4 linked regions of the Anolis sagrei genome follow. Each later gene encodes a partner of the first gene's protein in a complex. Links are inferred from orthologs where the notes say so. Each region holds a gene or a part of one and is shown on either strand. Other genes may lie near its edges. The genes, in order: ORMDL3, SPTLC1, SPTSSA and SPTLC2.

The links.
Region 2: the proteins of ORMDL3 (region 1) and SPTLC1 are in contact, whole or in part, in a cryo-EM structure (PDB 7K0N), measured with the Homo sapiens proteins. The link is inferred for Anolis sagrei from reciprocal best matches to the Homo sapiens genes ORMDL3 and SPTLC1. Residues at the interface, in NP_001307730.1 of Homo sapiens: Gly92, Val93, Gln94, Phe95, Thr96, Ala97, Lys100, Thr103, Ile104, Ile107, Tyr110, Phe111, Ser114, Tyr119, Gln121, Phe124, Thr128, Leu131, Met132, Leu139, Pro140, His143; in NP_006406.1 of Homo sapiens: Ala16, Leu17, Ala20, Pro21, Tyr23, His24, Leu27, Glu28, Leu31, Ile32, Trp34, Ile35, Leu38, Leu39, Ser41, Lys42, Thr43, Tyr44, Lys45, Leu46, Gln47.
Region 3: the proteins of ORMDL3 (region 1) and SPTSSA are in contact, whole or in part, in a cryo-EM structure (PDB 7CQI), measured with the Homo sapiens proteins. The link is inferred for Anolis sagrei from reciprocal best matches to the Homo sapiens genes ORMDL3 and SPTSSA. Residues at the interface, in NP_001307730.1 of Homo sapiens: Val36, Leu38, Ser39, Ile40, Pro41, Phe42, Ser44; in NP_612145.2 of Homo sapiens: Ile44, Tyr50, Thr51, Val54, Phe55.
Region 4: the proteins of ORMDL3 (region 1) and SPTLC2 are in contact, whole or in part, in a cryo-EM structure (PDB 7K0O), measured with the Homo sapiens proteins. The link is inferred for Anolis sagrei from reciprocal best matches to the Homo sapiens genes ORMDL3 and SPTLC2. Residues at the interface, in NP_001307730.1 of Homo sapiens: Met1, Asn2, Val3, Gly4, Thr5, Ala6, His7, Ser8, Pro12, Val16, Ser19, Arg20, Gly21, Ile22, Leu24, Ser25, Leu28, Phe63, Val67, Lys68, Gly69, Thr70, Pro71, Phe72, Glu73, Pro75, Gln77, Arg81; in NP_004854.1 of Homo sapiens: Glu65, Thr66, Pro67, Met68, Ala71, Val72, Tyr75, Tyr86, Gln116, Phe118, Glu119, Asn120, Phe121, Tyr122, Tyr127, Trp134, Asp259, Glu260, Leu261, Asn262, Val267, Arg271, Ile279, Met320, Val495, Val496, Gly497, Phe498, Pro499, Ala500.

The regions. Positions count from the first base shown.
Region 1 is NC_090026.1:42,251,399-42,258,381, forward strand, and holds the start of ORMDL3 (ORM1-like protein 3), read right to left. Parts: upstream 3,011-6,983; 5' UTR 2,839-3,010; intron 1-2,838. UniProt on the Homo sapiens protein: Plays an essential role in the homeostatic regulation of sphingolipid de novo biosynthesis by modulating the activity of the serine palmitoyltransferase (SPT) in response to ceramide levels.
Region 2 is NC_090022.1:235,620,860-235,628,504, forward strand, and holds the start of SPTLC1 (serine palmitoyltransferase 1), read right to left. Parts: upstream 3,015-7,645; 5' UTR 2,986-3,014; coding exon 2,923-2,985; intron 1-2,922. UniProt on the Homo sapiens protein: Component of the serine palmitoyltransferase multisubunit enzyme (SPT) that catalyzes the initial and rate-limiting step in sphingolipid biosynthesis by condensing L-serine and activated acyl-CoA (most commonly palmitoyl-CoA) to form long-chain bases.
Region 3 is NC_090021.1:300,873,107-300,879,974, forward strand, and holds the start of SPTSSA (serine palmitoyltransferase small subunit A), read right to left. Parts: upstream 3,007-6,868; 5' UTR 2,992-3,006; coding exon 2,832-2,991; intron 1-2,831. UniProt on the Homo sapiens protein: Component of the serine palmitoyltransferase multisubunit enzyme (SPT) that catalyzes the initial and rate-limiting step in sphingolipid biosynthesis by condensing L-serine and activated acyl-CoA (most commonly palmitoyl-CoA) to form long-chain bases.
Region 4 is NC_090021.1:307,157,362-307,165,271, forward strand, and holds the start of SPTLC2 (serine palmitoyltransferase 2), read right to left. Parts: upstream 3,019-7,910; 5' UTR 2,907-3,018; coding exon 2,799-2,906; intron 1-2,798. UniProt on the Homo sapiens protein: Component of the serine palmitoyltransferase multisubunit enzyme (SPT) that catalyzes the initial and rate-limiting step in sphingolipid biosynthesis by condensing L-serine and activated acyl-CoA (most commonly palmitoyl-CoA) to form long-chain bases.

The sequences.
Region 1 (6,983 bases):
TGTAGTTTAGGGAGGCACCAGCAATTTTTGGAAGAGAAAACTAAAAAAATTATAAAACCTCTACTCCAAGGATGCCATAGTATTGAGCCATTGCAGTTACATTAGTGCCAAAATGCATTAATTCTACAGTGTAGATGGAGCCTTGGAAAATCTGTGCTCTAATCCTACACAACATTAGATGACACTGGGCACTTTCTCTGCTTTGTTGGGAAGAAGGCAGTTACACCACCTTGAGTCCATTGGAAGAAAAGCAGGAGGTAACTGCTACTAATAAAATAAAAATAAACCCTAGTGACAAAATACTTTGTTGGAGTTTTGAAGCTAAAATGACTCATGGTCCACAGACTCTAAATTTAGTCACTGGCTGTGACACGCAGAAAGAAGGTGTGCGTGCGTGTCCTCAACAGCATCCAGCCTTCGCTTCACCCTGGCGACGCATTAGACTTTCCTATGCTCGCTCCCAGTTACAACTAGAAATTGAGAAGCAAAGAAAGAAGGAAACACTGGCACTTTGAGCCGTAGTTTTAGGGAGTTGGGCGAAATGAGTGCAGTGTCCTCCCATGAACATTTCCTTCTATCCCAAAGACAGAGACTGAAAATAATTCACACTCAGAACTCTTACATTTCCTGTATGTTCCCTTGGTGACTCTACCTGCCCTCTTTCTTTGGAGATCTACATATTTTTCTAAAGGCCTCAACTGACGTTTTAAGTTACTGCAAAGCTAGAAATGTGGGAACGGGAGGAAAATTTAATCGTGGTGGCGGCAAAATTCTTATTTGGCAGTGTTCATGTCCTCATTTTGCCCAGACTACTGTTGGCACTAAATTCCCAACTTATCTCCTCATTACATTTCCATCTTAACCTAAAGCTGCTCGCCAACATATTGGAAAATATTTCTGATAATCCAAAAATGTCCACATAATTCTGTGTCTGGGTGCATCTACACCAGGCATGGGCAAACCTCGGCCTTTCCGATGTTTTGGACTTCAACTCCCACAATTCCTAACAGCCTACTGGCTGTAAGGAATTGTGGGAGTTGGTCCAAAACACCAGGCATAGTCAAACCCAAAGTTTGACCATGCCTGATCTACAATGTAGAATGAATGCAATTTGATACACTTTAACTGCCATGGCTCAATGCTACAGAGTCTTAGAATATGTCATTTGGTGAGGTGCCACTACTCACTGGCAAAGAAAGCAAAAGACCTTATTGCTTTCCATGATTTCATAGCACTGAGTCATGGCAGTAAAAGTGATGTCAAACTGCATTCATTCCACAGTGTAGATACACTTACAATTTCACAATTTCTCCCTGCTACTCCCTCATCTTAAGAGCTATTCTCCATCCATGCACACTTGCCAAGGAACAGCAACAATGCATGTTCCCTTTGCCACATCTCCTTTTCTGGAGGTTGTGAAGCAGAGGCTGAGTAGCTATTTGCTGCGAGTGCTTTGATTGTGCATTCCTGCAATGGCAGGGGGGTTGGACTGGATGACCCTGTAGGTCTCTTCCAATTCTATGATTTTATCCTTCCAAGACAACTCCGTTGCTGGACCACTCCTTGTTTGGTTAGGTTTACATTGTGCATCTCTTATCCTTATTTTATGATCCGCAAATACTTTAAAATCAACCCTTTATCCTCAAATAAACCCTTGTGCCAGCAGGACTGCTGACCAAAAGGTTGGCGGTTCAAATCCGGATAGCGGGGTGAGCTCCATCTGTCAGTTCCAGCTTCTCATGTGGGGCATGAGAGAAGCCTCCCACAGGATGGTAAAACATCTGAGCATCCCTTGGGCAACGTCCTTGCAGATGGCCAATTCTCTCACACCAAAGGCAACTTACAGTTTCTCCAGTTGCTCTTGACATGAAAAAAAAAATCCTCAAATACTCCAAACTATCCATATGGGTGGCTGAGACAGTGATGCCTTTGCTTACTGATGCTTCCATGCACACAAACTTTCTTTTATGCAACGGTCTGGAGAACAAGCCCTATGAGGAGCGACTTAAAGAGCTGGGCATGTTTAGCCTGAAGAAGAGAAGGTTGAGAGGAGACATGATAGCCACGTATAAATATGTGAGAGAGGAAATCATAGGGAGGAGAGAGCAAGCTTGCTTTCTGCTGCTCTGGAGACTAGGACGCGGAACAATGGTTTCAAACTACAAGAAAGGAGATTCCATCTGAACATTAGAAAGAACTTCCTAACTGTGAGAGCTGTTCAGCAGTGGAACTCTCTGCCCCGAAGTGTGGTGGAGGCTCCTTTTTTGGAGGCTTTTAAACAGAAGGTGGATGGCCATCTGTCAGGAGTGCTTTGAATAACAATTTTCCTGCTTCTTGGCAGGAGGTTGGACTGGATGGCCCATGAGGTCTCTTCCAACTCTATGATTCTATGTATATTATGGATTCAGGTTATTTACTAATCCCTTATCTCAGAATCTGAAATACTCCAAAATCCAAAACTGTCCACATCAGTGGCTGAGAGAGTAGTATCTTAGCTTAGTTCAATGGACACCAACTTTGTTCCATGCACAATATTATTTAAATATATAACATTTCATTTAGGTTATGTCCATTAGGGATGTATGACACACAAATGAATATTGTTTAGACTTGGATCCCATCTCCCAAGAGATCTCATTAGGGACATCTATGCAAAATTAAGCAAATGCAAATAGGTCTTTCATATAATCCAGAATGTGAAACCCCAAACATTTCTGATCCTAAGCCTTTTAGATAAGGGAGCCTGTGCTGCCCAGCAAACCCAACCTTCTCCCTTCCCATGGCTTAAAGCACCATCTGACCCTCTCCCCAAGCTCCCCTTCCATGATCCTCACTTACCTTGCAACAGAAAAAGGAAGAAAATGTCTCTCTCCAATGTGGATTAACTGGAAAAGCCTGGCCTTGGGCAATCGGGGGAAGGGGGGTCTCTTTCTCTGCTCTGAAAGACCCCCGCTGCTCAGACTTCTCTTCCCAAGAGCTGACAACACAGCAAGGAGCTTTCATAGCACCGCCCCCTTCGCATACGTCATCACTATCAGACAGTGGAGCATGCTGGGACATGTAGTTCTCTAAGGGAGAAGCTGGGACTCTGGCGTTGATCACATTCTTTCTTTGGAAGTGTTAAGACAAACTGCAGGATGAATTGGATTCCCCTTTAAGGGCAGAATTGAATAATAATAGTGAGGATCATTTATAATATTTTTGCCTACATCAATAGGAGTATATTGTCTAGATCCAGGCAAGTCATGCTACCCCTCTATTCTGCCTTGATTAGACCATACCTGGAATATTGTGTCCAATTCTGGGCACCGCAGTTGAAGAGAGATGTTGACAAGCTGGAATGTGCTCAGAGAAGGGCGACTAAAATGATCAAGGGTCTGGAGAAAAAGCCCTATGAGGAGTGGCTTAAAGAGCTGGGCAGAAGAAAAGGCTAAGAAGAGACATGATGGTCGTGTATGTGAGGGGAAGCCATAGAGAGGAGGGAGCAAGCTTGTTTTCTGCTGCCCTGGAAACTAGGATGTCGAACAATGGTTTCAAACTACAGGAAAGGAGATTCCACCTGAACATGAGGAAGAACTTCTTGTGAAAGCTGTTCAGTGGTGGAACTCTCTGCCCTGGAGTGTGGCGGAAGCTCCTTCTTTGGAGGCTTTTAAAAAGAGCCTGGATGGCCATCTGTCAGGGTGCTTTGAATGCAATTTTCCTGCTTCTTGGCAGGGTGTTTGACTAGATGGCCCACGAGGTCTCTTCCAACTCTGTAGTTCTATGATTCTATATCCAATTTTTCCAGCATAAAACTGCATTCAGACATTAGTTACATTTATATCTCATTTTCCCTGCATAAAGTGGGAAACAGAAGAAACAGATATGCTACCTTGAGCTTGTTGGATGAATTGGGGGACAGAAGATAATTCATTTATTTAGAGTACAGATTGAGTATTCAAAATGCTTGAGACCAGAAGTGTTTGGATTTTGGATTTTCTTGGAGATGAGTTCCAAGCCTAAACATGAAATACATTTATATTTCATAGACATCTGATATACATTGACTGAAGGTAATTTTATAGACAACGTTTTTTGGGTCATGAGCAAACCTTGCGAATACTGACCACCAGACAGAAAAGGCTTCACTATTTCAGTCATCTATATGGGCACTTTTGGAGTATTTTGGATACTGGATAAAGGATGCTTAACCTATTTTTATATTTCATCCTTTAGCTAGAAAGACTCCCAGAGTGGCTTACTAATTGTTAGCTTGACAATTCCCTGTCCCAGGGTTTGCAATCTAAATAAGACATGAAATATAAGGATATGGGAATGTCAGTCTGAAAGAGGATTCATCCAGAATGAAACATTTATGCTTAGAATACTCTTCTTTCCCCCAGAGAGCAAATTTAACTATTTTTAATAAGTTACTCCTCCCTAAAGACCTTTTGAAAATCTATCATAGTAAATGTCATGTACTTGGTTTGATAGTTTCAACCAGTTTGGGATGTAAAATTACCAAAAAAAACCCCATCTCCCAAGATCAACATGCAGGTTGAGTACCCCTTATACAAAATGCTTGGGACCAGAAGTGTTTGGAGTTTTGGATTGTTTCTAAACTTTGGAATATCTGTATATATGAATATGTTCATGATGAGATGTCTTGGAGATGGGACCTAAAGGGCTTCATGGCAAGATGTTGTGAACAGCCCTTGTGATCTCTCCAAGCTCTATGATTCTATATACAAAATTCATTTATGTTTCATATACACATTCATTTATGTTTCATATACACATAACCTGAAAATAACTTTATAGAATATTTTAACATAATTTTGGGCACTGGGTTTTTTTGGGCTATATGGCCATGTTCTAGAAGTATTCTCTCCTGACGTTTTGCCTGCATTTGTGGCAAGCATCCTCAGAGATTGTGAGGATTTTGTGCACCACCAGAAAGCAAAAGTGTCACTTTCTCAGACCCCACATGGACAGTTTTGGATTCTGGAGTATTTCAGATATTGGGTTTTCAAATAAGAGATGCTCATCGCAGGCCCGTAGCCAGGATTTCATTTCGGGGGGGGGGGGGGTGATTTTTTTTCAGGGGGGGTTCTGGGGGGCTGAGTTTCAGTGGGGGGCTGAGTCTGAGTGAAAGAGGGTCTAGCCTAGCAAACCTTTTGTATCATTACCCCAATACCCCCATGTATATGGGATATATGAGTATGGTGATCAGATCACGATATTAATAAACATAACAGTTTAAATAATGCACCAGTAAGGCCTTTTCGCAAACCACCATGAGAATTTCAGGGGGGGGGGGGGCTGAAGCCCCCCGAGCCCCCGCTGGCTACATGCCTGGTTCATTGTGTATCACCGGGGGCTCATCATGTGGAGCCCCCGATGATGCAGTGGGTTAAAGCACTGAGTTGCTGAACTTGTTGACTGAAAGATTCGAATCCAGGGAGCGGCGTGAACTCCCACTGTTAGCTCCAGCTTCTGCCAACCTAGGAGTTCGAAAACATGCAAATGTGAGTAGATCAATAGGTACTGCTTCAGCAGGAAGGTAACGGTGCTCCATGCAGTCATGCTTGCCACATGACCTTGGAGGTGTCTATGGACAATGCCAGCTCTTTGGCTTAGAAATGCAGATGAGCACCAACCCCCAGAGTCGGGCATGACTGAACTTAATGTCAGAGGAAAACCTTTACCTTTACCTTTACCATTTTACATATAAATTATTGTGGTCATTTTGGGTCTAGATGTTGTATTACATTTTCTGTTACCAATTATATTATTTTCTACTTGTCCAAAACAAGGAACACCACTGTGAAATTGTTTCTTCAGCCATAGAAATGTGAAGACAAAATCAAAGAGATTATTTATATACTGGGAATTTTCTTCTGCCTTCACTAATTCTGCTTATGTACCTTCCCAGTATTTTCCAAATAAAAAAACTAATATTTGTGGTAGGACCGTGAAAGGGGTAAAGAGAGAAAAATAAAGAGAAGAGCATCTGTCATGAGAATCCCTGAAGTTACACTATCCAGAATTGTGCATCTAATGTGTCAAAACAACTAACTTCAATCTTGAAAAAAATGCTTCATTCTATTTCCTGAAAGAATCCCAGCATTCTACCAACATGTTTGATTTATGAAACAAGAATGCATACTTGGGGACTATTGTTATTGATTAAGTTGAGGATCAATGTGTGTGATCAATGTGAGAAGAGAAGACTGGGAGATGACATGACAGTTATTATTAAATATCCGAAGTTATGCCACAAATATTTTAATGGCATGGAACAAGCTTGTTTTCTGTTGCTCTAGAGACTAGAACATGAATCATTTGATTCAAATGACCAGAAAACAAATGTCAACTCAATATTAAGAGGAACTTTTTTTTACTTTAAGAGCTAATCAACAGTGGAATAGATTGCTAGAAATGTGAGGACTAAAGGAAAGCATCAATTTATGGGGAGGGGGATTAATTTGGAGATCAATGCCTTAGTTTTGCCCCCAATATCGATACCCATTGGTTGATGGGGTATTTGGATAAAGGGGCCCAGAACCTAGATAATCCAGTTAGCCAAATAATATGACAACCTTAGTCCCAGAACATGAGAGTGCAAGTAAGTTTTCATCAGAAAATCAATAGCTATAGCATTTGTTCCCACTGCCACTAGGACTTTGATTGCACACAATCTTTCCTAAGACCTTTTTACTAAGAGCATTTTATGCCCATTTTGCTTTGTTTCATGGCTTGGACAGGGTCTGCCGTGTGACATTACATCACACCGAAAGGTGCTTCCTCCATCACTATAGGGAGGAAAGTGTGTTTTGTGTAGCTCCGATGGAGCTACCTGCACTTTCCTTGCCTTTTCCCCGTATGATGGGAGAAATAGTGGTGGGGCAATGCATGTTGCTGCATGTTACCACCCTTTCTCCCACCTGATGGGAGAACACATCCTGTCCCATTCCTACTGTATGATGGGGGAAGGAGAGCGG
Region 2 (7,645 bases), on another chromosome or scaffold:
TTCCAGAAGCATTCTCTCCTGATGTTTCGCCTATATCTATGGCAGGCATCCTCAGAGGTTGCTTGCCATAGATGTGGGCAAAACGTCAGGAGAGAATAATTCTTGAACATGGCCATACAGCCCAGAAAATTCCCAGCAACCCAGTATTCCTGATATGGTTTGTTGATTTATTCCATACATTTTTAATTTACTAATACAGATGACATATAAAACACTAAAATCCCAGGTTCATGGTGGCACGTTCAGAATGAAACCCATGATTTACTTAACAGCTCACCATACACACAAAAGGCTCACTAGATTTATAGAAGACAACCTGAACCTGTATATGTTTATTTAGAAATATGCTTAATTGCTAGTTCACAACTTCAACTAATGGTGGATCTACATTATAGAGTTAATACAGGTTTGACATTGCTTTAATTGCTGGCTCTGTGGTATGGAAACATTGGAACTGTGAGTTTAGTAAAGCACCAGCATTCTTTGGCAGAGAAAGCGAAAAACCTTGTAAAACTACAAGTCCTAGGGTTTCATAGCATTGAACCAGGACAGTGAAAGTGCTGTCAAACTACATTAATTCCACAGTATAGGTGCACCTCTTGTTATTTGACAATCACTAGTCAGTAAAAAAGGCATCCAGATTTAATTTACCTCTTAATAGCACATGTCCAATAATTCTTTAACAGCAGGGATTTTCATAATATATACCCAAGCACCACTATATTCAAAGACTAAGTTTCAGGGCATTCATAGGATAGTACTCCAAACTGCTCTGATTTGAGATTAATGAAAATTAAATTTATTTTAGCAGAATATTAGCTAATATAGCACGCTCAGCTACAACATGATCAAAAAATCTCCAGAGTAAAATAAATAAAGATATAAATAAAGGGTAGCATTCTTCAGATAGGGTGCAGAAATGTATAGCTCTGGAGGAAATTCAGATGTCAAAGTAATGATCAAACATTTTTCCTCCACCTTGCCACTAAAGTACGACTGGTGGGAACGAGAGAGGGCCTTGTCTGCGATCACCCCCCATCTCTGGAATTCCCGCCTTAAAGAAATAAAAATGGCACCCTCCCTTGCAGGTGCTGTAATTTCATTTCAACTGAACTTTTGGTGTTTCTGTAAACTGAGTTCTATGTCAATGTTTTTTCATGTTAAGTTACTTGATAGGCTATGTTACCATTTAATTTGAGGTTGCAAGTTTAATTTGACCGTAGATGCTGGTGCATTTTGGGACTTGGTTGGGTTGTTCTTGTACTGTATTTGAATTTATGATCTTGTAATGGCATTGAATGTTTGCCTTTCTGCTTGTTGAAATCTGCCCTGAGTCTCCTTAGGGAGATAGGGCGGAATATAAATAAAGTTGTATTATCATAGTATTACCTTACTGACACAAAACACAGTATGACACAGATATGTATGTTGGATTTTGTATCACAAAATCACAAGTTGAACACTTCCCAAGTGTCTAGGACTGTGCAATGTATTTTTGAATGATGCGCGCAGATCCAAGTAAGGTGGTCTTTTACAGTGGACAAATTGTGATTTAGTCAGTGATGATGATGATGATGATTATTATTATTATTTGAAACACAATAAGATGAGTCCACAGCAGACACTCTGCTGGCTGTTGAATTGGATCACACGTCCGACACTTCCCAAGTGTCTAGGACTGTGTGATGTATCGGCGAATAACGCTTGCAGATCCCAGTAAGGTGGCCTTCTGCAGCTGGCAGATGGTAATTTTGTCAGTGCCTATTGTGTTTAAGTGCAGGCCAAGGTCTTTAAGCACTGCACCCAGTGTGCCAATCATCACTGGGACTACCTTGACTGGGTTGTTCCAGAGTCTTTGCTGTTGGGCTTGGCCTCATGTAAGCCACCCCGAGTCCCCATTGGGGAGATGGTGGCGGGGTATTAAATAAAATTATTATTATTATTATTATTATTATTATTATTCAATCTTTAAATCCGCATATCGTGTCAACTTTTCCAGTTGTTTCTCTGCAATCTTGCTTATTATTATTATTATTATTATTAAACATTTGCTCCTGAACATTTATTTAATACATATCCCATCTGTCTCCCACGGGGCATCTATCATGTAGAATCAATGCAGTTTGTCACCACTCTAATTGTCATGTCTTAATGCAATGGAATTAAGGGAGTGCTGGTGCCTCACTAAACTGCAACTCCCAGGATCCCATAGCATTGAGCCATGGCAGTCAAACTGCTATAACTACAAAGTGCAGAAGTACTTTAGCTGAGATCCATCCTTTTATCTCCTGCCCTGTTTCTCCAAACAGGGACATGCCAAACTGACTTGACAAAGCCACACGTCCAGGCACCGCCTCCTTATGTGTAAAATGAAACTGCTGTGATTACACACCTTGCACGCCCACACAACTCAAACTCACCCCTTTCTGAGATTTCCCTCCCTCCCTGCCTTGATAACTAAGGTCCCTTCCGCACAACTAAATGAATTTTCACATCATCTGCTTTGAACTGGGATATAAGGCAGTGTGGACTCAGATAACTCAGTTCAAAGCAGATATTGTGGGATTTTCTGCCTTGATATTCTGGGTTGAGTGGTGGTGTGGAAAGGCCCTTATAAGGCACAGGAACCCAAAGGCACCAGGTTCTGTCTGGTCTTGGAAGTTCAGCCAAGCCAGCTTTGATTAGTCCTTGGGAGTCCTGTTGGATGTATTTCAGGAACTGGCAAAACCAGCTCTGAGCATCCCTTGCCTAAGAAAACCCTATGGGATGCATATAAGGCCGCCATAAGTTGATAGCAGACCTATTAATGGGGGGAGAGGAATCCCTGAGAATGGCGCCCTCATCCCCTTGAAGCCCTCGCCTCTTTTCTTTCGGAGGGAAAGAAGGCGAAGGGCCGCCCGCGCCTTTAAGGCCGCCCCTCACCTCGTAGAAGGCCTGGACCATCTCCACCAGCACCCACTGCTGCCCCATGCCCTCCGCCGCCATCGCCACCAGCTACTTCCGGGTCTCGGCGAGCCACGGCGCAGGCGCGCGTTGACGTCACGCCGGGTATAAAACAAGAGGGAGGCGCTCACAGGGAGCAAGAGAAGATGGGAGCATCGTCAGTGTTGTCTCTTTGGCCTCGCAGTCTGGCTGGGGTTGCTCTGTTTAGGAGGAAGGGATGTGATTCTTAAAGGGACAGTGACATCAATGAAGTCTGACACCAATTTAACTATCATGGCTCATTGCTTTGGGAATTGTAGTTTTATAAAGCCTTCAGCATTCTCTGCCAAATAGTCCTGGTGCCTCCCCAGGATTCTGTAGTGAAAGTGGTGTCAAACTGCATTAATTCCACAGTGTAGACGCCCCCTTAGTTCGGCAGGGATTATTTACTGGTTTGAGTATCCCTATGTGAAATACTTGATGGGTTCAAAATGTTTTCTTATGTCTGCCAGGATTTTCTTGGCTATTCCATTTCACATTGTGTGCTCATTGTTAGTTTTGAATCAAGAAAGTTTGCTGAAACTTTTTCTTTTTGCTCTTACAGGAGAAATATTCTCCTTTGCATGTTATTTCTATCCCCGCACCAGATAATATATTTTTGTCAGTTTGTTTTGTTAAAAATGTAATACAAATCATAGAATCATACAATCAAAGAATTGTCGAAGGCTTTCATGGCCGGAATCACTGGGTTGTTGTAGGTTTTTCGGGCTATATGGCCTCTAGACCATGGCCGTATAGCCCGAAAAACCTACAACAACCCATACAATCAAAGAGTTGAAAGAGACCTCATGGGCCATCCAGGCCAACCCCCTGCCAAGAAGCAGGAATATTGCATTCAAATCACCACTGACAGATGGCCATCCAGCCTCTGTTTAAAAACTTCCAAAGAAGGAGCCTCCACCACACTCCGGGGCAGAGAGTTCCACTGCTGAACGGCTCTCACAGGAAGTTCTTCCACATGTTCAGATGGAATCTCCTTTCTGGTTGCTCCTGACACGATAAATAAATAAAACCAGATATTATGATATAGCATTAATAATGTCCAGGAATACATCAGCTTCAATAACTTGGCACATGGGCCCCTTCCACACAGCTAAACAAAGCCCTACATTATCTGTTTTGACCTGGGATATATGGCAGTGTGGACTCCGATAACAGATGGCCCTTCCACACAGCCCTATATCCCAGACTACCAAGGCAGAAAATCCCACAATATCTGCTTTGAACTGAGTTGTCTGAGTCCACACTCAGGACCCTTCCACACAGCCCTATATCCCAAAACATCAAGACAGAAAATCCCACATTAGCTGAGTGTGCATTCAGACAACCCAGTTCAAAACAGATACTGTGGGATGTTCTGACTTTATAGTCTGGGTCAGGGGTCCTCAAACTAAGGCCCGGGGGTTCATAAGAGTTCATAGGGATTTGACAAAGAGTCCATGGAAGTTCCTAAAGGTCTTAAAAGTTCTCAAAAGTTGATAAAAGTTCCCAAAAATTTATAGAAGTTGGAAAAAGTTCATAAAGTTTGGGTTACAGGGGCGTTGCCATGGGGCCAGTGTAGGTTCCCACATGGGGGAGAAATAGGGGATTATGGGATCATTCCAGCCTGAAAGATACAGCCAATGTTGTAATTATGCCTTCACACTTGATATATGCACCAGGAAGTCAGTGCCTGCCAGCTCCTTAGAAGTTACTTCTGAATAAATGTGCTTAGGTTGAGTGTGTTAATCATGAGTCAATGATCAACTGTCTAAACTGCAGAATTTATGCAGAGTGACACCATTTTAACTACCATGGGCCATGGCTCAATGCTGTGAAAGTTGTAGTTTTGCAAGGTCTTCAGCCCTCTATGCCAAATAGTCTTGATGCCTCACCAAATGACAACTTCCATGGTTCCATGCAGTTGAGAAATAACAGTTGAAGTGGTATCAAACTTCATTAATTCTACAATGTTGATGCATCCCTAGTTATACTTATTTATATTTTTCTTTCCTCCCAGGATGGCCCCTGTGGTGACTCACAACAGAGCAAACTTCCCCTTTTTTGGTAAGTAAGCAATAATTTTGCTTCTGCAAAGATCAAGGCATGTTGTTTTCATAATTGTGACACAGACCTATGTGTAAGAATGACCTATTAACCTTGACACTGACAATATTGGGCATGTGTGTTTCACACATTTACAGAAATGTTATTCTTTGGTGGATTTATCTCATAGATAGATAGACACATACACAGCAGTCACTTTGGGGATAAACTTGTAAAAAAGAAAAAGGAGATGGCGGCCTAAGAGAGGAGATTAAGCAAATACTACTTCTCTCACTCCAAGGACAAGGCAGTTACAGTTGGGATAGAGGGAGGGCTTTTCATCTGATTCTGGTCATAGGCATGATGGAGTTGTGCCTGCCTCTTCTCATCCTCTGAGGCCAGGACAGTGCCAGTTGGAATACATGGAGAGACTTCTACTTATCCCAACTACTGCCATTTAATGTGAAGTCTTTCTATTATCCACACCTCTGCCTCCAGTGCAAGGACCCTATTCTGGCCATCAGTTGTGAGGACCTTTTAGAAATTACATCCTCATCACACATCAATGCTCTGTCATCAGACAATGTACCTGATGTGAACTTTCCAATGTAAGCATTCCCAGAGGATAAACATGTAATTAAAATGATTTATTAAACAGAAATAAACATAACATGACAAATAACTTATTTTATACATTTAAATAAAATTCTCATTTTTCTTACACACATATGTCCTAGTTAACTCTGATTCTTGCTCTCCTAACCTCAGATCCCTAATTTGTGCTCATACAGAACAGCCTTTTAAAATTATCTCAGACATTGCACCAATTATCACACCCAACATATAATTCTGTCACCCCTCTCCATAGATTCTTACTTTATAATATCTAATATATATGCTATCTTAACATAGGATGGGTATCCCCTACCTTAAATGCTTGGGACTAGAATGTTTTGGATTTGTATAATAATAATAATAATAATAATAAGAAGAAGAAGAAGAAGAAGAAGAAGAAGAAGAAGAATCATCATCATCATCATCATCATCATCATCACCACCACCATTTTTATTTATACCCTGCCACTAACTCTCAAAGGGACTCAGAGTAGCTCACAAAGCACTCAAAGGTGCAAACACCAAAATACAAAGTGCAAAGACAATACCACAGAAGGAATAACAACCAACATAAACATCACAATCCCCCCCCCCCCCGGTTAATATCTATAAAATGTAACAATAGCTGCAGGTATAAAATAATTGCAACCAGTATCAGTCTCATAAAGTGCACAGTGTAATAGTCTCTAGGTCTTCAAATGTTAAGAGATTCTAAACATGGCCAAAGGCTTGCTTGCAGAAATAACCATGTTCTTCAGTTGTATACAGAAGGCTTGGAGAGTGGGGGCTAGCCTAATCTCTCACGTGAGGGCATTCCAAAGTTATGGGGCGCCACCGAGAAGGCCTTCTCTCTCGTCCCCACCAATCACACTTGTGATGGAGGTGAGACTGAGAGGAGGCCTTCCCTGGTAGATCATAGTGCCCATGCCGGTTCATAGAAGGAGGTGCAGTCTCAAAGATAGGTTGGACCTGAAGCATATAGGGCTTTACAGGTAATATACCTACCTACTGAGATATCTTGGAGATGAGGCCCAAGTCTAAATGTTTCATATATACATTATACATACAGCCTGAAAATATGTTTATAAACAGTATTTTATTTAAATAATTTAAATTTTGTGCATGAAACCAAGTCTGGATATATTGAGTCACGAGAAAGCAAAGGTGTGAGTATCTCAGCCAGCCAGAATATTGGAATTTTGGATAAGGAATGTTCAATTTGTATCTAATAAATGAAATAACATTTTCCACTGAAAAGTCCAGAACGTCACACTATTGTGAGGTGATACAACTGCTTCTTATCCTGTAAATGTGGCTAGAAATTCAGAACTCATAAAGCAAGTCCTCTTCTGCTTTACTTGCAAATTTTCAACTGCAGCGACATTTTCTGACTCACCTGTGAAATATTTCTTAAGAGAGCAATTCATCTGGGATTAATGATTATATCACGGATGTGATGAATTACCCGTGTAACAGCTCTCATGCGCAAAACATCTAGAAGTTTATGAAACACTGTAATTTCAGTTATTTGTAATAACATCAGATGGGGGAAAAGTGTTGGGAGTAGGGAGGGCTGAAGCAATAATACATTTCAGCTGGTCGCCGACGGCAAAACAAGCAGAGAAACAGGAACGACATCCTTTAGTTTTTAGCCCAGTCACACCCTCCACTTCTCTGGCTGCTTTGTCTTAGAAACAAATCTCTGAATAAATTATATGGTCATTAAAAATCATGATCAGACCTCACTTCCTACATGAAGCTGCTTCTGTTTTTATAAGTACTCTATTCCTTGAAAACAACTGTGTTCTAATGTGGGTGCTCAAAAAAATTGAAAAAATGGGTAGATCCCACCTCCAAATACCAAGAGGGTGAGTAAAGATAGTCTAGAAACTTTAAATCCTTGAATGTAAATATTGGAGATTAAAAAAAAAAACCCAGAAAATTTAATACAAGAATGAGGACCAGCCAAAGAGGAGTTGATAAGGAGAGAAGACACCAGCATGCAAGAAATTCCTAGGCAGAT
Region 3 (6,868 bases), on another chromosome or scaffold:
ACACAAAGCAAAAGCTTTCTATTTTGGCCACGACTTCACCCTAAAGAGCCAAATGAAGCCCAAGGCCACCTGTCACTTGTCCATTCCTGTTCTCATCTCACATCTCCTGCCCTATCACCAATTGACGCAAACCCCACAAAAAGAGTAAAGGTAAAGTAGGCAAAACCCAATTCGTGCACGACTGAGAATCATAGAATCATAGAATCAAAGAGTTGGAAGAGACCTCATGGGCCATCCAGTCCAACCCCCTGCCAAGAAGCAGGAATATTGCATTCAAATCACCCCTGACAGATGGCCATCCAGCCTCTGTTTAAAAGCTTCCAAAGAAGGAGCCTCCACCACACTCCGGGGCAGAGAGTTCCACTGCTCTCACAGTCAGGAAGTTTTTCCTCATGTTCAGATGGAATCTCCTCTCTTGTAATCAAGGGAAAATCCTGCTCTGAATTTAAAGGGGAAGGGAAGAACCACAGAGACATTCAATAGACATATAGGCTGAGTACCCTTTATCCAAAGAGCTTAGGAGAAGATGCATTTTGGATCTCTTTGAATTTTTGAACACCTTTATTTGCATATAAATACATAAAGGGAAATCTTGGCGATGGGATCCAAGTATTTTCATACAGAATATTTTTAATCAACTTAAGCATTACACCAAGCTTGTGTACTGATTGACTCATGCCTACATATGCCACTAATGTGATGCGCAATAAAGGGAGGACATCCCTCACCCCATGTCATAACACACAGCAAACTAAGCGTATTGCATAAGTTGTACCATTAGAAATCAAAGGGAGTCATTATCTCAGCAAACCCATAGTGAATTTAGGAATATTTGTTTTTAATTTTAGAATTTCACACAAGGAGCACTCAACCTGTAACATAATACAACAGTTACTGTGGTATACTATGTGTTGAAAAATGAATCCAAGTTCAAGTCCCAGCTGAGGCATAAAATTTACCAGGGGACCGAGTCAAGTGTTGAGAGCCAGCTGAGACCCTTATCTCTCCTAGGGCCCTCTCCAACATGTGTTTAAGTAGGATGAGGGAAGGCTCCTTCTCAGGGCTGGTACTGACACCTTGAACTTCTTTCCAGAAGAGCTAAGACCACCACCATCTCTGTTGTGTTTCCAGAGGGGTGTAAAGACCTTACTATTTAAGAATGCTAGTAATTAAAGTTTGAGCCGTGTTTTTGGGGCTGGGTTGAGTTTTAACGTCTAATATTTTATTTCAAAGGGGTTTTATACTGAGGAGATGGGATTGGGTTATGTTTTAACTTTGGTAATTATGTTTTAATTTTGTACTGGAGCCCCTCATGGCACAATAGGTTAAATCCTTGTGCCAGCAGGACTGAAGACCGACAGGTCAGAGCTTCGAATATTGGGAGAGAGCGAATGAGCTCCCTCTTTCAGTTCTAGGTCCCCATGTGGTGACATGAGAGAAGCCTCCCACAAGATGGTTAAACGTCAAACATGCTGTCATCCTCTGGGCAAGGTCCCTGCAGACGGCCAATTCTCTCACACCAGAAGCTACTTGCAGTTTTTCAAGTCACTCCTGACACTGAAAAAAATTGTATTATATAGTTTACATGTTGTAGGCCACCTTGGGTCCACTTGCAGAAAAAGGTGTGGTAGAAATATCTAGAATAAATAAAATGCTGGATTTGCCACTTTTCTATTACTTATTTATTTGTCATGTTTATATCCCGTTCTTCTCAACCCCAAATGCACAGAGGCACAATTTGATGCCAAACAGTTTGGTTTTTTTTTCGTGTCAAGAGCGACCACTCCTGTTGTGAGAGAATTGGCCGTCTGCAAGGACATTGCCCAGGGGACGCCTGGATGATTTTTTGATGTTTTATCATCCTTGTGGGAGGCTTCTCTCATGTCCCCGCATGAGGAGCTGGAGCTGATAGAGGGAGCTCATCTGCCAAACAGTACATACAATACATATCCAGCAAATAAAAATATACATAAAAACATCCACTAAAACATGCCATCATTAAAATTATTAAAATCCCATAGTCCATTAACATAATTGAGGTTGTTCCTATGATCATCACACCATTCCATGTTCACATATTGCACTAATAAATTAAACAGCGAGTCCACAAAAAGTAAACCACGAAGTAGCGAGGGACCACTGTATTCAGTTTCAATTTGTTTGCCCTCATCTGACCTACCTCACAAGCTTTTTGTGAGAACAAGCAAGCGGAAGAGACGCTCACTGGAGGAAGAAAGAGAGGATATAAAAATCCATGAGTAACAAAGGGTTGGAATTTTAAAAATCATCACGGCAGCTGTTTTAATTTTAATTGGGACGCTGAATTAAAATAGATGTCACACCTCACACGATTTCTTGCATACTCAATATTTATAATCAATTCAATTGCTACTCTGTTTTGTCAAGTGTGACTGCTAATGCCTTGTTGTAATTTCTTTTAATACTCTTGAACACCTCTCAGCAAATTATTAGGAGGCTTTGACTCAGGCCTGGGCAAACTTGGGCCCTCCAGGTGTTTTGGACTTCAACTCCCACCATTCCTGACAGCCTCAGGCCCCTTCCTTTTCCCCCTCAGCCGCTTGGCTGAGGGGGAAAAGGAAGGGGCCTGAGGCTGTCAGGAATGGTGGGAGTTGAAGTCCAAAACACCTGGAGGGCCCAAGTTTGCCCAGGCCTGAAATACACCCAGTGTCCTCCCTTCAGACACTCAGGGAGGGCCTGAGGGGCCTCCTTCCTCCACCAAAGCCAGGCCTTTCCCACTTCCTGTCCCCTCCTCTTCCTCCTCTTCTTCCCTCCCAAGTCCCTGAGAAGAAGCAGCAGCACGGAAAGGATACTGAACACCGTCCGCTCCCAGGGCTCCAGCATGTACAGCGCGGTGACCAGGAGGTACTGGTAATAGAACCACGACATCCGCTTCCAGGCCGAAGAGAACGCCATCACGCCGCCGCTGAATCTCCGTGAGTAAGGTAACCGCGCCTGCGCAGAAGGAGTCATATCCAGGCCCAGGCGGCAAGAAGGGGCGGGGCGAGGTGACGTCACGCACAGTGTCTCCGCGGATTGGCCAGGCCCGCTGAAACACTCACACTCGAATCCTCCCAAGTTTTTTTTCTGGACTTCAACTCCCAGAAGCCTCCGCTGCTTTCACCCATGATTAGGTATTCTGGGAGTTGAAGTCCAAATCCCCTGGAAGGCCATGGTCTGGGAAAAACTGAACCCTGGGTTGCTGTAGGTTTTCCAGGCTGTATGGCTATGTTCAAGAAGTATTGTCTCCTGACGTTTCGTCCACATTTATGACAGGCATCCTCAGAGGTTGTGAGGACAATTTCAACAGAAAGGAGGAAACCATGAAAATGAACAAAACAGCATATTATTTGAGGACACAGAAATGCTGGACCACTCTCACAACCACCATGTCAGACTACACAGAGAAGCCATTGAAATCCACAAGCATGTGGACAGTTTCAACAGAAAGGAGGAAACCATGAAGATGAACAAAATCTGGCTACCAGTATTAAAAAAAAACCTCTAAAATTACAACAGCAAAACAACAGAGGGAGAACAATCAGGGACATCTAATCACCTCTCAACAAAAGACTGCCCCAGGCACTAACAGGCCATCAAATGCTAATCAAGGTGGTCAGTTGAAACATTCACACCTAGCTCCAGCAGACAAGAGTCTTTTGTCCCACCCTGGTCATTCCACAGACATATAAACCCACTTTCCTAGTTCCCCACTACCTCTGAGGATGCTTGCCATAGATGCAGGCGAAACGTCAGGAGAGAATGTCTCTAGAACAGTGATTCTCAACCTGGGTCCCCAGATGTTTTTAGCCTACAATTCCCAGAAATCCTAACAGCTGGTAAACTGGCTGGGATTTCTGGGAGTTGTAGGCCAAAAACATCTGGGGACCCAAGGTTGAGAAGCACTGCTCTAGAACATGGCCATATCGCCCGAAAAAACCTACAACAACCCAGAAGTCCAAATCCCCTGGAAGGACATGGTCTGGGAAAAACTGAACCCTGGGTTGCTGTGAGTTTTCCAGGCTGTATGGCCATGTTCCAAAAGCATTCTCTCCTGACGTTTCGTCCACATCTATGACAGGCATCCTCAGAGGTTGTGAGGTCTGTTTGAAACTAGGCAAATGAGGTTTATATATATGTGGAATGTACAGATGGGAGAAAAAACCCTTTGTCTGCTTGAGGCAAGTGTGAATGTTGCAGCTGTATAGTACAATATAGTAATATTTTGTATTGTATAGTACAATATAGTAATGCTTAATACTGATATTGTAATATACTAATAATATAATATAGTGTATGTAGATATACCTTGTGAGAAGGGGTTAAAAGGGAAGTATAGAAATAAATAAATAACTGGCCACCTTGATTAGCACTAATGGCCTTGTAGCTTCGAAGCCAGGCTGGTTGCTGCCTGGGGGAATCCTTTATTGGGAGGTGTTAACTGGCCCTGATTGTTTCATGTCAAAAACTCCCGTTTTTTGAGTGATGCTCTTTAATTTACTGACCTGATTTTAGGGTTTTTAAAATACCGGTAGCCGGATTTTGTTCATTTTCATAGTTTCTTCCTTTCTGTGAACCATGAAAATGAACAAAATCTGGCTACCAGTATTGGAAAAAACCTCTAAAATCAGGACAGTAAATAAAGAGCAACATTAAAAAAAACTGGGGAATTCCTGACCAGCTGTTAGGAATTGTGGGAGTTGAAATCCAAAACACCTGGAGGGAAGGCCAAAGTTTGCTCATGCCTGATCTAGATGCTGTAGAATTAATGTAGTTGGACACAATTTTAGCCGCCATGGCTCTATGCTATGGGGTTTATAGTTTGGTGAGGCATCAGCACCATTTGGCAGAGAAGGTTTGTAAAACTACAGCTCCCATGATTCCACAGCATTGAGCCATGGCAGTTAAAGAGGTGTTAAACTGCATTAATTATATTATAAATGTAGATTGTATGGTGTCACGCACATGAACCTCCTCTCATGCCACACATTGTGGGCAAAGTACCAGAAAATTGGCATAACCAGCTACTATTAAGAAGCAAGCAGCACAACAAAAACAGCATGTGTTATTTTAATATTTAAATATTACAATGAATGCCGTCATTTCATCTGCATGTGCTATGCAGATGAAACAACTTCATTCATTTTAATATTTAAATGTTTTTGTAACATTAATGGTGTGTTTTTAAATTTACATTTTAATGTATTCACATTGTTTTAAATTGGCATTGTTTTTAGTTTATTGATAGCATAAATAGATAAAAGTACAATAAATAGGAAGCATTGTTGCAGTTGGATAACAATGACATCTCGGCCGCAGCACATAGGCATTTGAAGGTTCAAAAAGAAAAATTAGCATAGAGTTTTAGCCTTGCCGGTATATTGGAACAGTACAGAAACTGAACTTACAGAAAATGTATTGTGTAACCACAGGGATGTTTTTATGAAACATACTTTCCACTGAAACGCTGCACAAGGGTTTTATAGACAGTCATTTTGCTGTCACTTCCTCCTTCAGTGTCAGCTACCAATGCCACTGAAGTGATCTGGAACAAAGGTTGAAAAGGACAACTGAAATGACATTGAACAACTCGCAGGAGAGTTTGGGGCTCATCTGCTTGGGAAAGAAGAGGGGAGGCAGATGGCTTACCTAATTTGAGAACCACTCACTTTTTAAAATTGTTGTTTTAACTCAGTGCCCTCATATATCCTCAGATCACTGCTTAAACTGTGGGTCCCAACCCCAAATGGGGTCCCATCAGCTCAAAGTTGGAGTCATGAAAAATCTAACAACAGTAAAAATTTCTGAATGTCACCATTTACCCAAAATCAGAGTTGGAAGAGACCACATGGGCCATCTAGTCCAACCCCCTGCCATGCAGGGAAAGCACAATCAAAGCACCCCTGACAGATGGCCACCCAGCCTGTTTAAAAGCCTCCAAGAAAGGAGCTTTCACCATACTCCGAGGCAAAGAGTTCTATTGCTGAACAGCTTGTACAGTCAGGAAGTTCTTCCTAATGTTCAGGTGGAATCTTGTTTCCAGTAATTTGAACTCCTTGGTCTAATCTCCAGGGCCTGCTCCCTCTTCCAATGTAGTGTTTACAGTGAACTCTGCAGAAAATGCTTCCGCTGTCCTTCTGTTTAGCAAGCCTTGCAAATGCTGATTTATTAACAGTAAATGTTTGGTTTGTATACCTATTTTATATACCTATATACTTGGGGTCACAGAAACATTTCTTTGGCGGAAAGGGATCGCAACTAGAAAATATTTAAGAAGCCCTGCTCTAGAGCACATGGAAGCAATTCTACCATGCCTCTGGTTTTTCCTAAATTCCTCTAGTTTTCCTTCAGCAAAAGGCAATGACTGAAAATATTTGTCAAGTGTTGAAATATTCCCCAACATAAGATATGGTAAAATTGTTCCTCATATTTCGATTTAACGAAAACAATTCAAAATACAGAGGAAAATTGAGCCACATTTTCCTAACTCCTAATTTTTCAGCATTCTGGGCATTTTTACATTCTAAATGTAGCTCTTTAATCCCATTGTATCTCCTCTTGGCAATATACGTAAAGGAGAAAAAAAATACTCTTATGCCTTAGCAATGTTCCACTTTTGTTTTTCTTCAATGGCATTTTTTAAAAATCTGATGTAAACACATGCAGAAAATTCTTATTTTTCAATAAAAAGCGATCTCTTCATTCTTTTTCTAGTATTTAGATTGGTAGTAATCAAGAATGAAGTATACTGATGCACGGTCTGCGCTAGACTAAAAGCCAACTTTCATAATCTAATATAACTTTCATAATAATCTAATATTTAATAATCTAATATCAAATCTAGAAAGAC
Region 4 (7,910 bases), on another chromosome or scaffold:
TTCGGGACGTAAATGGGGTCCTTCAAAAAACAGTTTAAAACCTATCTTTAGAAAGGACGAGGATCAGATGAAGAGAAACTACTGCCAGACTGCTGACTGGATAGTATGAATGCACTCGGGCCTTGTTAGATCACATTAGCCCACTTACCAACTTTCACCATACAATCTATGTACACATTTGTGAACCTTTGTGTTGTTTTGATATATTAATTTGGATGTTTTATTTTTAAGTTCTGTGTTAGTTATAATTTTAATTGAGTATGTTTTATTCAAATTATAGTTGTTATGCTTAAGTTGCTCTTTATGTGGGGTTATCTTGGGTTTTTATATTTGTATTTACTATTATTGAGGCATTGAATGTGTCCCTTTTTGTTTGTTGGAATCCGCCCTGAGTCCCCCAGGGGAGATAAGGTGAAATATAAATAAAGTTGTTGTTGTTGTTGTTGTTGTTATTATTATTATTATTATTATTAATGGAAGGCTCTTCGCAGTCCTTTTTTTCAGTAAGTCTCTTGATAAAAACATCTGATACATCATGGAAAGAAATGACAAGTCGAGTGCTGCAGGGTTCTGTCCTGAGCCCCGATCTGTTCAACATCTTTATTAATGACTTAGATAAAGGGTGAGTACAGGCATGAACAAACTTCACCCTCCAAATCTTTTGGACTTCAACTCCCACAATTTCTAACAGCTGGAAGTCTGTTAGGTATTGCAGGAGTTGAAGTCCAAAACACCTGGAGGGCCCAAGTTTGCCCATGCCTGGGTTAGAAAGCATGATCATCCAATTTGCAGACATCAAATTGGGAGGGATAGCTAATACCCAAGAAGATAGGAGCAGAATTCAAAACGATCTTAACAGATTAGCGAGATGTGTCAAAACTAACAAAATGAAGTTCAACAAGGACAAATGCAAGATACTCCACTTAGGCAGAAGAAATGAAATACAAAGATACACAATAGGGGACGCCTGGCTGGACAGCAGTACGTATGAAAAATATCTTGGGAGTCCTCATGGACAAGTGAAACATGAGCCAACAATGTCATGCAGTGGCAAAAAAGGCCAATGGGATTTTGGTTTGCATAAATAAGAGTCTAGTCTCTAGATCTAGGAAAGTCATTCTACCCCCCCCCCCCCCATTCTGTCTTGGTCCGACCACACTTGGAGTCATACTGTGTCCAATTCTAGGCACCACAATTGAAGGGAGATGTTGACAAGCTGGAATGTGTCCAGAGGAGGGTAAATAAAATGATCAAGGGTCTGGAGAACAAGCCCTATGAGGAGTGGCTTAAAGAGCCGGGAATGTTTAGACTGAAGAAGAGAAGGCTGAGAGAAGACATAGACATGCATAACTATGTGAGGGGAAGTCATAGGGAGGACGGAGCAAGCTTGTTTTCTGCGGCCCTGGAGACTAGGATGCGGAGAAATGCCTTCAAACTACAGGAAAGGAGATTTCACCTGAACATTAGGAAGAACTTCCTGACTGCGAGAGCTGTTCAGCAGTGGAACTCTCTGCCTCGGGAGTGTAGTGGGGGCTCCTCCTTCAGAGGCTTTTAAACACAGGCTGGATGGCCATCTCTTGGGGGTGCTTTGGATGTGATTTTCCTGCTTCTTGGCAGAATGGGGTTGGACTGGATGGCCCAGGAGGTCTTTTCCAACCCTATGATTCTATGACAGTAGTTTTCGACCTGTGGGTCCCCAGATGTTTTGGCCTTCAACACCCAGAATGGCAATTTTCCTGCTTCTTTGCAGAATGGGGTTGGACTGGATGGCCAGGATGACCGCATTTCCTTCCTAAAACTTTTTATTTCCCCTCAGAGAAATTCAGGAAATATTCAAATGTATTATGAAATAATGTATTTTGAATATTCTTGGCAGAATGGGGTAGGACTGGATGGCCCAGGAGGTCTCTTCCAACCCTGTGATTCTATGACAGTAGTTCTCGACCTGTGGGTCCCCAGATGTTTTGGCCTTCAACTCCTAGAACTGCTGGTAACCTGGCTGGGATTTCTGGGAGTTGTAGGCCAAAACACCTGGGGAACCAAGTCGAGAACCATGTCATAGAATCATAGGATCGGAAGAGACCTCGTGGGCCATCCAGTCCAACCCCATTCTGCCAAGTATATTCAAAATACATTATTTCATAATACAAGAGTATTTCCTGAATTTCTCTGAGGGGAAAATATAAAGTTTTGGGAAGGAAATGGGATTGGACTGGATAGCTCTATGTGTCTAATGCAGGCATGGGTCAACTTGGGTCCTCCATGTGTTTTGGACTCCAACTCCCACCATTCCCAACAGCCTCAGGCCCTTTCCTTTTCACCCTCAGCCGCTTAAGCCTGAGGCTGTTGGGAATGGTGGGAGTTGGAGTCCAAAACACCTGGAGGACCCAAGTTGACCCATGCCTGTTCTAACGTACTGAAAACAACTTATCTCCATCATTCCCTAATTCAAGGTTTTAGGAGGAAATGTTGGACTGAATTTTCCGTGAGTCTAACCTATTTTGTACACTTTACTCCTCATCCTGAAAGAAATCCTTCCAAAACCCAAATGTCTTCTGAGGGGAAATCATGGGGATGGCCTGGAGGCTCCTTGAGGCCTCTCCCTCCAATATGGTTCTGAGAGGAGGAAGGGAGGAAGGGAGGAAGGGAGGAAGGAAGGAGCGCAGGGTTGCCACCCGGTCCTCTCCACTGCCTCCGGAAGGCGCCGCCTCAGGGAAAGAGGGGAGCGGGCCGGAAAAGCAGGCCTTCCCTCAGGGGCGCGGCCGGCGGGGTTTCCTGGCAGCGCCTGCCTCACTCACCTGGCTGTGGGGCTCGGGGGCGCTGCGGACGAAGCCGTTCTTATGGCCGGGGAGGCTGCAGCCGTTGGCTCGCGGCGGGCCAGCCAGCTTCTCGGGCCCGCGCACCATTTTGCCGGCTCGGACGGCGAGAGGAAGAGAGGCGGCGGCGGCGGCGGCAGCCTTAGAAACCAACCAACCCTCCGCCCGTCGCTGCGCCGCTCTATCGCACCGGAAGCTCAGCCGGGGAAGCCCGCCAATCCGAGGCCGTTACGTCACCTTGGGGGGCGGAGACGTCCCCGTGCATGGCAGTTGTGCTCTGTCTCCGCCCCTCACGGTGACGTCGCGGCTTCCGATTGGCGGGCCTTGGCAAGCTGAGCGCCCGTTCTTTTCGATTCAGAAGAAGGAGGGGGGACTGGGAGGAAGGGAGGGAGGGAGAGGGTGAGAGAGAGGGAGGGAGGGAGAGAGAGAGGGAGGGAGAGAGGGAGGGAGAGAGAGAGGGAGGGAGAGAGAGAGAGAGAGGGAGGGAGAGAGAGAGGGAGGGAGAGAAAGAAAAGGAAGGGCCTGAGGCTGTTGGGAATGGTGGGAGTTGGAGTCCCACCATTCCCAATAGCGAGAGAGATAAAGTTGAACACTGAAAGCCGCCCACTATATAGGTATTATATATAATAATCTATATAAATACATATATGTTTGAAGGACTAGATTTAGTAAACAGAGTCCCAGAAGAACTATGGACAGAAGTCCGCGACATTGTTCAGGAGGCGGCAACAAAGTACATCCCAAAGAAAAAGAAAACCAAGAAGGCAAAATGGTTGTCTGCTGAGACACTGGAAGTAGCCCAAGAAAGGAGGAAAGCAAAAGGAAACAGGGATAAGGGGAGTTGTTGTTGTTGTTGTTGTTCATTCGTTCAGTCGTTTCCGACTCTTCGTGACCTCATGGACCAGTCCACGCCAGAGCTCCCTGTCGGCCGTCACCACCCTCAGCTCCTTCAAGGTCAGTCCAGTCGCTTCAAGGATGCCATCCATCCATCTTGCCCTTGGTCGGCCCCTCTTCTTTTTGCCTTCCACTTTCCCCAGCATAATTGTCTTCTCTAGGCTTTGCTGTCTCCTCATGATGTGGCCAAAGTACTTCAACTTGGTCTCTAGTATCTTTCCCTCCAATGAGCAGTCGGGCTTTATTTCCTGGAGGATGGACTGGTTGGATCTTCTCGCAGTCCAAGGCACTCTCAGAACTTTCCTCCAACACCACAGCTCAAAAGCATTTATCTTCCTTCACTCAGCCTTCCCTAAGGTCCAGCTCTCACATCCGTAGGTTACTACAGGGAATACCATGGCTTTGACTAGGCGGATCTTGGTTGCCAGTCTGATGTCTCTACTCTTTACTAGTTTATCGAGACTGGACATTGCTCTCCTCCCAAGAAGTAAGCGTCTTCTGATTTCCTGGCTACAGTCTGCATCTGCAGATCTTTGCGCCTAAGGGGAGATATGCCCAGTTAAATGCGCAATTCCAGAGGTTAGCCAGAAGAGATAAGGAACTATTTTTAAACAAGCAATGCATGGAAGTGGAAGAAGACAACAAAATAGGAAGGACAAGAGACGTCTTCCAGAAAATTAGAAACATTGGAGGTAAATTTCAGGCAAAAATTAGTATGATAAGAAACAAAGATGGCGGGGACCTAACAGAAGCTGAAGAGATCAAGAGAAGGTGGCGAGACTATACAGAAGATCTGTATAGGAAAGATAATAATATCAAGGATAGTTTTGACGGTGTGGTGAATGAATTAGAACCAGACATCCTGAGGAGTGAGGTTGAATGGGCCTTAAGAAGCATTGCTAACAACAAGGCAGCAGGAGACGACAGGATCCCAGCTGAACTGTTTAAAATCTTAAAAGATGATGCTGTCAAGGTGATGCATGCCATATGCCAGCAAATATGGAAAACACAAGAATGGCCATCAGACTGGAAAAAATCAACTTATATCCCCATACCAAAAAAGGGAAATGTGAAAGACTGCTCAAACTTCTGTACAGTGGCCCTTATTTCTCATGCCAGTAAGGTAATGCTCAAGATCCTGCAAGGAAGACTCCAGCAATACATGGAGCGAGAGTTGCCAGATGTTCAAGCTGGGTTTAGAAAAGGTAGAGGAACGAGAGACCAAATTGCCAATATCCGCTGGATAATGGAGAAAGGCAGGGAGTTTCAGAAAAACATCTACTTCTGCTTCATTGACTATTCTAAAGCCTTTGACTGTGTGGATCATAATAAATTGTGGCAAGTTCTTGGTGGGATGGGCATACCAAGCCACCTTGTCTCTCTCCTGAGGAATCTGTACAAGGACCAAATAGCAACAGTAAGAACTGACCACGGAACAACAGACTGGTTCAAGATTGGGAAAGGCGTACGGCAAGGCTGCATACTCTCACCCAACCTTTTTAACTTGTATGCAGAACACATCATGCGATGTGCGGGGCTTGATGGATGCAAAGCTGGGGTGAAAATTGCTGGAAGAAACATTAACAACCTCACATATGCAGATGACACCACTCTGATGGCCGAAAGCGAGGAGGAGCTGAGAAGCCTTCTAATCAAGGTGAAAGAAGAAAGCGCAAAATCTGGGTTGCAGCTAAACATCAAAAAAACCAAGATTATGGCAACAAGAATGATTGACAACTGGAAAATAGAGGGAGAAATCGTGGAGGTCGTGACAGACTTTGTATTTCTAGGTGCAAAGATTACTGCAGATGCAGACTGTGGCCAGGAAATCAGAAGACGCTTACTTCTTGGGAGGAGAGCAATGTCCAATCTCAATAAAATAGTAAAGAGTAGAGACATCAGACTGGCAACAAAGATCCACATAGTTAAAGCAAAGGTATTCCCCATAGTCACCTACGGATGTGAGAGCTGGACCATAGGGAAGGCTGAGCGAAGGAAGATAGATACTTTTGAGCTGTGGTGCTGGAGGAAAGCTCTGAGAGTGCCTTGGACTGCAAGAAGATCCAACCAGTCCATACTTCAGGAAATAAAGCCCGGCTGCTCACTGGAGGAAAGGATAGAAGAGGCAAAGATGAAGTATTTTGGCCACATCATGAGAAGAAAAGAAAGCTTGTTGTGGATCGATGTTGTTGATCCTGTTTGTTGCATTGTTATGTTTTAATTGCACTGTAAACCGCAGTTTAAAAGCGGCTATCTTCCTTCGCTCAGCCTCTCACATCCGTAGGTGGTCCAGCTCTCACATCTGTAGGTGACTATGGGGAATACCATTGTTTTAACTATGCGGATCTTCGTTGCATAAAATATTGTAATATAATAATGCTAATATATTACTATATATTAAATATATATTAAATATAATTATTACTGAGAATATATAATCTCTCTCTCTATATATAAATGCTCTGTGCCTAATGAGTGCCTTAAAAACAAAAAAACCAATGAACTAAATCACAACAAATTTGGCAACAAAACATCTCACAACACAAGGAGTGACCATCACTCAAAAATTATGATTTTGTCATTTGGGGGTTGTAATTACTGGGATTTATAGTTCACCTACAATCAAAGAGCATTCTGAACTCCATCAATGATGGAATTGAACCAAATTTAGCACACAGAGCTCCCTTGACCAACAGAAAATACTGGAAGGGTTTGGTGGGCATTGACCTTGAGTTTGGGAGTTGTAGTTCACCTACATCCAGAGAGCACTATGGACTCAAACAATGACCAAACTTGGCACAAGCACTCAATACGCCCAAATACGAACACAGATGGAGTTTGGGGGGACATAGACCTTGACATTTGGAAGTTGTAGTCACTGGGATTCACAATTCACATACAATCAAAGAGCATTCTGAACACCACAAATGACAAAATCGGGGCAAACCTACCACACAGAACCCCCATGACCAGGGCAAGAAAATGTAATCAAAGCCTCCTGACAAAGAGTTATCCAGCCATAGATATAGACAGATATGATTCACACACACAAATATAGTATTATAGATTTGAAAGGGACCCCTGAAGAAGGACAATTATATGTTGCATGTTCCAGAGCAGGAAAACCAGACACTCTCCACATCAACACTGACAAAGAAACAGCAAGAAATACTGTTTACCCACAAGCATAAAAAATTACATATATTAGAAACCAACACTTTCTCGTTACTTTATTTTCCATATCAACAGACTGGGCCACAGCAACGCGTGGCAGGGGATAGCTAGTAATATATAAAGATATACTGTTTTATTATTTTATATTTGTGTATTTTAAGTTGCAATGTTTTTGATTGAGAGCCGCTTTGAGTTTCCATATGGAGAGATAAAGCGGGATAGAAATAATTAATAAATTAATAAATTAATAAATATCAGCCTCCTCCCAGTAGACTCAAGTCAAGGAAAACTTTCATGAGAACAACCACTCCTCTTAATGTGCCTTCAGCAACAGCAAGAATATCCTCGTGGGCATTAAAATCAGGCAATTCCAACTGGATAGTCCCCCATGAGGGTCTTCCTCCAGGGGCAAACCAAGAACAGGCAACTTGGAAGTTCTTGCACAGATTCAGTTGAGTGGCCAGATCAAAAGACAACCTGACTAATGGCACTACCTAGAAAAATTCTCCACTTTATGTGACAGTGGAGCAAGCCCCTGGGCAACGTCCTTGCAGACGGCCAGTTCTCACACCAGAAGTGACTTGCAATTCCTCAAGTTGCTCCTGGCACACACACACACACACAAAGCTGGATGGTTAAATAAGGGATGTGTCTCCCCAGGCATTTATGCTGCATACAACTATTGTATAACCCACACATGGGCAAACTTGGGCCCTCCAGGTGTTTTGGACTTCTGTTAGGAATTGTGGGAGTTGAAGCCCAAAAAACTGTTGTGCTTGCTGAATTTGTTTCTACATAAGGCTAGACAGCCAGTACTATTGAACTTTTTATTAATATACTTTTTATTTTAAAACTAATTTTAAAATTAATTTACTGTGTTCTTATATGTAATTACTGTATGTATTATTGATATGTAATGCCATCAAATTGTGCCAAATGTAAGCCGCCCTGATTCCGCCCCCCCGGGGGGGGGGGGGGTGTTGAGAAGGACGGGGTACAAATGTTTGAAATCAATATTAAAATAAA